Saccharomyces cerevisiae S288C: one gene and its partner. Changing the gene in region 1 together with any one later gene gives a genetic interaction. Each region holds a gene or a part of one and is shown in the gene's direction. Other genes may lie near its edges.

Evidence for each region.
Region 2: of PEX28 (region 1) and PEX25, extra expression of one rescues a mutant of the other (dosage rescue), as found in Saccharomyces cerevisiae (one study listed by BioGRID).

Annotation. Positions count from the first base shown.
Region 1 is NC_001140.6:395,250-399,621, forward strand, and holds PEX28 (Pex28p), read left to right. Parts: upstream 1-2,001; coding exon 2,002-3,741; downstream 3,742-4,372. Other genes in the region: SKG6 (Skg6p), read right to left, coding at 1-1,410; MTC6 (Mtc6p), read right to left, coding at 4,019-4,372. UniProt on the Saccharomyces cerevisiae protein: Involved in the regulation of peroxisome number, size and distribution.
Region 2 is NC_001148.4:336,682-340,442, reverse strand, and holds PEX25 (Pex25p), read left to right. Parts: upstream 1-1,822; coding exon 1,823-3,007; downstream 3,008-3,761. Other genes in the region: CAR1 (arginase), read right to left, coding at 1-499; YPL113C (glyoxylate reductase), read left to right, coding at 3,300-3,761. UniProt on the Saccharomyces cerevisiae protein: Required for regulation of peroxisome size and maintenance. Has a role in the import of peroxisomal matrix proteins. Imports RHO1 into the peroxisome. Also promotes peroxisome division and biogenesis.

The DNA of each region.
Region 1 (4,372 bases):
TGCTTCCGTATCGTTCACGGTGAGTGTATCCTGCACTGGATATTGTTTCTGGCTTTGGGCCATTTCTGGACCATATTCTGCCAAGTTAGTATTGTTTAGAGGAAGTGCTTCTTTCACCAGGTGTTTTGCTTCCGGTACCTCATTATTGTCGATATTGTCGTTATTATTAATTTTGATAGAAGGCAGTGGATTCTGGACTATATTATCCACTCTATTCTCCTCCTGCGATATATCATTTGCATTATCTGCTTTATCCTCTTCCTTTTTCATTGTTTTAGCTCTATCCAAATAAACTTGATAAATACTTTTCATTCTCTTAATATCTTCTTCTTCATTAGGGGATAAGAGTGATACATAGTAATCATCATCTTGACTTTTACTGCTACTACGATCATTCATATGTTCAGCTTCTCTGATATCTTGAAGTTCATAATTATCATCATCCTTACCAAAACGCAGATTCCTTTCATGTGTCTTTTCTGAACTATTATCAAGTTCGAATTCGAACGCGTCATTGCTTGCAGACTCATTTGACTCATTCAAAACCTCAGCCTCTTCACTAACTGAGGACGAATCATTGTCTTCATTAGGAAATGTAAACTGCTTGTTGGCACCTTCTGTGGCAGAACCACGGGAAAGCTGGTTATTATGGATTGGGCTACCGTGAGATCGAAAGCTTTCACTCTCTTGAAATCTTGAAGACGCTCTTATTGGTGTACAATTCGAAAAGTTATCAGGATGCAAGGACGTTTGACTGGCATTTCTAGACTCGGCCGCAACTTTATAGCCACCTAGTCCATCTTCTTGTACTCTCATGGCAAAATCTCTCAAACTGTTAGAGTCGTTCGATTCCTGTGGAAGCTGAAACGGGTCTACGTACCATGACCGACCAATTGCAGGTGGGGTAGCGCTTCTCACATTATATTTACTACTATGCATGCTACCAACAAAGGGATCTGAAGGCGGCTGTTGCAAGGTCTTTTCCATGAAGTCTTGCTGCGAGTCGCTAGAGTACAAATGATTTATTCCAGGTGAATAATCCTTCATTGTCGGTAAAAATTCAGAATCTCCTTCGAAATCTGGATCATTATCTTCCTCAGCTTCCTTTTTGCTTCTCCTATACACAATGCAAAGTATCACAGCCAGAACAATGATAATGACACCTACTGGTACCGCAACAGCCACACCAACAGTTACACTGGTGCTGTGACTCGAATCTGTGGGTAATTGACATTGCTGTTTAGAGCCTGTACATTCAGCAGATTTGCTATTTTTCGTGCTGGATGCTGAGGAAGAAGATGAATCGCTATCGTCTCTTCTAGTGAGCCTTGCATAAGCATAAGACGCATCAGAAACACTTACCGTTGAAGTCACAGATATTAAACTTTCATGCATATGGGTGTGGTACATCGCGAACTATATCTTTGTTAGAACTATGTGACGCTATATGAGTTCAACGAAAAACTATGAAAGGTAATGAAAGAATGAAAAGAAGAACCAGTGAAAAATTCGATATGGATAAAGACAAGGCCTGCTCCCCACAAAAGCTTCACCATGAGTTTGTTATTGATTATTAAAAGTTCTTATTGAGATAAAAAGAGAAAAAATACGGAAGAAACCTTGTCTTTTCGATGAACTTTCCTATTTGGGTGAGCAGTTTTCCTCTTCGAGCTGCAAAAAAGTTTATCGCTTCGCGAAAAAAAAAAAAAAAAAAATTTAAAGAATTTCAAAACGTGTCAGGGCTACTAAATAATTGAACGAGGTCTATGAAATAAAATGGGCTGAGAAAATTTCAAGAAAAAGGAAATAAGTAAGGGCTATTTAGGGTTAGTGGAATGGCTTTTATTATTTCCGCCGCGATGAACTTCCCTTTTATTGTGACATGATAGACATAAATATGACGAATGCCTACGAATTGGAGTCATCAGTAGATAGAACCATAATGAATAAGATAAAAACGCAGGTATTTAGGGTGACAAAGAGATAATATATCTTCAGCAAATGAGTGAGACCAGCTCAAGTCGCAGGAGCGCGAGTAAAGACGCTGTCAAATCTTACTTCGCAGGCAAATACAATAAAGTGTTGGATTCTATACTGGAGGCAGAAGCAGCAATATCAAAATCGCCAACTGTAGCAGAAGATCTATCAGGAAGCTCCTCCAGCGGAAATTCTGAGATGAGCCATCCTTCGCTAACCGCCTCCTCCGCAACAAGCCAAGGCATTAGCAAAAAGGAACTACTCCAACAAATTGCTGGTTCATTATTCAGTACGTCCATTGAGCGCCTGAAGACTGCCCACTCATCAGAAGTATCAAGTACTCCGGAATATTCAGTAAATGATTCGTATGGAGAGCAAGAGTGCAGGGAGTGCGATGGTGTTTTCAAGTGTTCAGCGCACTTTGAGGGCGCGCCCGAATATTATGACGATGAAACCGAATCAGGGCCAGCTCTAGAACCTATGACTTCCAATAGTGAAAAAGATCCTTTTATCGATGTATTTTTGGATAAACTAATATCGAGGTTGGTCCCTGAAAAGCTACCAGAAAGAGAGCATTTTAGTAGCAAAACCACCATTGAGCATGATCTAGACACAGGAAGGGTTCCCGTGTTTTCAGCAACTACATTGGGTAGTAATTTCAAAAAATTGTCTAAGAAAATGGGCTCAATATTTGAACTCCAGGACTCCATAGTTCGACTGCTGACTTGGAGAAACCCTACCGGGACGGTGACGTCGTTAATATTATTCACTTTGATATGTTTTAATCCAATGTACTTGGTAATTTTGCCTATATTCCGCTTTGTCTATGGTATTGTAGTTCCTGGCTATGTGCGTAAACATCCTTTACAAAGGAGTATATATCCTCTGAAACGGAATCACGGATCATCATTGTTATATGATGTGTGCTATGAGGGAAAAAATGAGTACAGCTACGGTCAACAGTTTTTCTCCAAATCTTTTATGGACACTTTGGAATCAAGAAATCAAGAAATAGACGAAATATCAGAATTAGATAAAAGAACCGAAAACACAGGGGAATTGAAACAAGGAATGAAAGTACTAATTAATTTACGCGATATGCAAAACATGACCTCTGGTACCCTTCATGTTATTGAGGCAATCAATAGTTTTCTTCGTAAGTCTTCTAGTTTTCAAAACGAAGAGTGCTCCACTAAACGTTTTTTTACAGGATTTCTTTTGATTGTTTTCTTAAAAATATTATCACCATTTGTGAATTGGAGCTATGTATGTAGCATATTCGCCTGGTGCTTACTGATATATATGCATCCAAGAGCTCATCCAAAAATAATAAGTTTTTTCAAAACAGGAACAATGGGAAAAGAATACAAAAACTTGAAAAAAAGAGAACACCAGGCGCTTAACATGATATTCGATGAACAACCGGAAACTAAATTCATCGAGATTTTTGAAATATATAAAAAGGCCTTACTGCCGAACGACTGGAAGTTTTTCCGATATTCAAATAGAATTTTCGATCCTCAAGATCCGTATAGAAGAGCACAGCAATTCCCACCGGGAGTAGATTCTTTGGCTGATGTTATTCCCCCCACAGGCTGGTCATTTGATCCTAATTTTGAGTGGAAAATTGACAATGATGTGGATAGGTGGGTGGTAGAACGTGGGTTGAATCTGCCAATTACCGGCGAATTCTTATTTGATCCAATGTTCAAGAGGAGGAGACTGATACATCGTGTTATTAAGAATGCAACACCAGTAGCATAATGCACAATTGTTTTCCTTCACCTACAACCCCACCCCTCTTCTTGGGGAAATCATTGTATTACGTACTTTTTTCCTAAAGATATTAGAAAAAAAAATGTTATGTATCAATATTACTAGGTAAAATACAAAAATGCGCTTTTGAAGTATAAATAATACAGTTTTGTTTTAAGAAATGCTATATATGAATTAATAATAAATGAAACGAAAAAAAGCACTACTTGAGTTTTAATGTCGTAAAACTTGAGAAAATTCTAAAGTGTCAGAAAAAAAGTGATTTTTAAGAAGGGACACCTTCTAGCTCGGATTTAGAGATTTTATTGATAACTCTTCTCCAATTTTTTCTATTATCATAAATGGGGACCCTCAATACACTCAAGTAAACGACAATACACAGTAGGGCAAAGGAACAGACTGACGCAGGGACCATCATTGTTACGAAATTTCTCCTAGAAATGACTTTTTCATATGGGCAACTAGCATAAGGACCACCACTTACCCAACAATTGCTTACTGATATAGAGTTCAAATCTATCCATATTTGTGTGTCAGAGAAGGAGGAATTCCTCATATATGCAATAAACGATCTCTGCTCCAATGGGCTTCTAGGAATATTAAATGAATACTGATCGGG
Region 2 (3,761 bases), on another chromosome or scaffold:
CGGGACAGCCGTGCAAGTTTCCAGAGGGGGTGCTTTCTATGGTGTTTATATCAGCGTGGGCGTCTATCCATAAAAGACCAGCATCGGGGTATTTGTCCAAAACCGCGGATACAGTACCAATGGCTATTGAATGATCACCACCCAAGGTCAAGGGGAATCTGTTCGCCTGGACCACTTTCGACACGGAGTTGTACACCAACTTGGTGGCTTCACCAACCAAATCTGCTCTTTTAGCCTTGACACCGTCTATCATAACAGAGGAACCCCCAGTTGTGGAGTCCTTCTCCATTTTCAACTTTCCCACAAATTGGGCCTCGTCCATTGAGGGCTCTAATTCCGTAGACCAGCCCAAATCCTCTATGCTTGTTTGCAGACCATGCTTAAGCATGTATTTAGGGCCCTTCTCGACACCAAGCTTACCCTGACCGCCGCTGAATGGAGCCAGAACGATGGACAATTCGCGATTTTTGTAGTAGTTGTAATGAGGTCCTGTTTCCATCTTGATAGTAGTTATTGTTATTGATATAGTTGTTGTTGTTGTTTCTGCTAACTTTGAGAAAACATATACAGACCAAGAGAAGAGAAACAGTCTTAGATCTTGATAGAAAGTGGGCCGCAAGCTCTGCTTATATACTCTTTAGACCCCTCGGCGGCTACCGCTAAGTGAAAAATTCAGCGAGCGGCGATGCGCTGTTGATTGCCATTAGCAGCACGGTGCTTTGCGAAGGGCAAGAGCTAGAGACTATTCGCACTAGCCGATATTTTCGCGGCGTCTCGGCTTCTTGTAAGGGATAGAAAAAAACTGTTAATGGAAGGAGCAATCAAAGGGCGGGGATCGCGGGCGACGGTGCGGCATCGAAAAAGTGAAGAACCAGTAAAAATAGAGGTGGGGTTTATCAGTGTTGATATCTAAGTTTATGATAAACATTGATGAGTCAGGGATTGCACCCGTAGTTCATCCGTATGATGTGATGTTGTTTGTTTTTGTTTCATGTAAGGTTGCTAGAATAGGGTCCTGTCAGACAGTATGCGTAGCTTTACCATCATTTCGCCGCTATATGTGAAGGGCCGTAAATTGGATATACGGTATGTAAAAATCAGCGGAATATTATGATGAGAAGTGAGAAAATTGAAGTCAGTAATCTTGGATATTCAGAACTGTCAATCCTCAGTTTGGCCAATTTTATTTAATTTGTTAATAGCAGAACTTACCGGGCGGTCCAGTTTTGCCTACACGGTTTGGTATAAAGTTTAAAAAGCATATATACGAGCTAGATGAAGTATCCAATAGAGTTTTTCTCACGATGGTATTGGAATAGCTTCCTTGAAAGGTAACTACATACAGTGTCGAGGAAAAATAGACAATTACTTAAAGGAGTAAATGTTACTATACCTGAAAGAAATTAAGAGTCGCCATGCGTAGCAGTAATCACAACCGACATCGGGGAAGAGTGAGGGGAGCAAATTGGATGTAAATATTTTGGTGAATTTGCTCGGTACGCGCTAAACTCACATGATTTAGCAGCGCCGTGGCGCAGTGGAAGCGCGCAGGGCTCATAACCCTGATGTCCTCGGATCGAAACCGAGCGGCGCTAAATTTATTTTTTTCTTTTTACTCTTCATTTTTTTTCCAGGTCGGTGATAGTATATGAAATTCCGGTGGGATTGGGCTTATTATTTCAGGTTATATAATTTTTGAAATACGTTTTTCTTCTTTCTTCTCAGAATCATCGGTAATTTGTATGCTGGAGAAAGTAACAAATAGAGTCGATATCCTCAACTTCCCTGTAAGTCTTCACCTATAGAAACTGGTCGTAAAACAATGAGTCAGTTTGGCACGACAGATATCGTTTCCGGTTCAGAAACACCACCTTATTCTGGGGCAAGTTACCAGGACGCCCAGGATGACAATACCCATCCACATTCATCAGACGCCGGTGCAGAGAAGTTCAGTGCAGGCAGTGGAAGCGAGTCGCATACTGAATCCTCGAGAAGTGATGATGAGGATTCTCAAGCAAAAACAAAGATGGTGGATAATATTACCATCTTAAAATATATATTGGATTCTCTATCTGGTAGAGACAAATTAGCCAAAATTATCAAATACGCTCTGGATATATTAAAACTGTTTATCGAAAAGTCTAAGCGAAATTTAACTGTTTTGGACCCTTCCGTATTAACGTACTATACCAAGATTTTGAAAAATCTGACTGTAAAAGTCGCACTAAGGCATCCAATCACGGTAATTAAAGTACTTCTCCTGTCTCTTTTGAGAAATTTTGACAAGAAAATTGATTTTATCAGTCAACAATTAAGTACTTTTAGATATATTTTAAGGTTTGGCGGCACACCATTCCGAGTGTGCAGTTTCTTGGGGAAATTCAATAAAACCAGAAAGTGCAACTTTCAAATTGACCAAATTAAGAAAATATGGTTTAATGAAGCTTCATTGAGAGAATTTTTGGACTTGTATTATGGTATCTTTGATGAATTAGACTTGCTATACAAATTGAAAATATGGACAAATAAATCATTCTATTCCTTTGTCAGTAGACAAGAGTCTCTTGCATGGCAATACGACATTCTTTTAAGCTTGAAGGACCATTGGCTCAACCTGCAAAGCTTACAGAAGAGACAATTAGAATTGGAAGTGCAACTAAAAGTTCAAAATAACGCGTTACTACTCTCACCCATACTGATGCATCAGGCCCATAAAGACGATGGCTCACAATCGCCAATTAGGAAACAGTTGTTAAATGACCTAAATGTTAATAACGACGCAGAGGTGTTAATACACAAACAACTAAAGGCCATCAAGGATGAAAAGACACTTGTTTATTTAGATATTGCAAGATTATCGTTTGATTGCATGGCTAATACATCAGATATTCTAAATTTAAAAACTCCAAAGGGAACGTATGCCGTTCTGTCCCTGGGATCCGGCTTAACTGGACTGGTTAAACTTTGGATAACAACAAAGAGGTCACTTTGCTCTTCAAAAGATTGATATATAAAAATATGTATACATATAGATATGTACATATATATGTGGCGAATAATGTTTTACCTCTGCATTTGTATTGTTATTTGATTCGTTGAATAAGATAGTTTGGCGCTCGGTTTTTGCTCTTTTTCTTCCGTTTTTATGTCATTGGGGTGGCGGTAGTCATTCCGTTTTACGGTATGTTTATTCTGACACTTTGACGCAGATCTAAAAGGTGGAGTGTGGAGTACAAATAGCTCTCTCTCAAATACAGAAAAATACTTGAGTGTACAAAAGTAGCAACCTTTAAATAACAATGATTACTTCAATTGACATAGCAGATGTAACTTATTCTGCCAAACCAAGAATTTTGGTGCCTTATAAAACCCAATGGGAAGTCGCCAGTCATCTTCCTGAATATCGCAAACTGGCAGAAAGGGTAGAATTCTATAAATATGAGATGTCCACAAAGGATGATTTTGTTAAATTTTTGGAAACTCATAGAATAAACGGCTTTTGGCTCACTGAGGAGTTTTTCACTGTGTTAGGAAACCCTTCGAGTTATATTGAATTCTTCCCCGCATCTTTAAAAGTAATCCTTGTACCATGGGTCGGCTGTGACTTTATTGACGGTAAGTTATTAAGATCGAAAGGTATCACTTTATGCAACATTGGACCACATGCTGCTGACCATGTCACAGAATTGGCTATTTTCCTAGCAATTAGCTGCTTTAGAATGACTTCATTTTGGGAATATTGTTTTAAATACGTGGAAAAT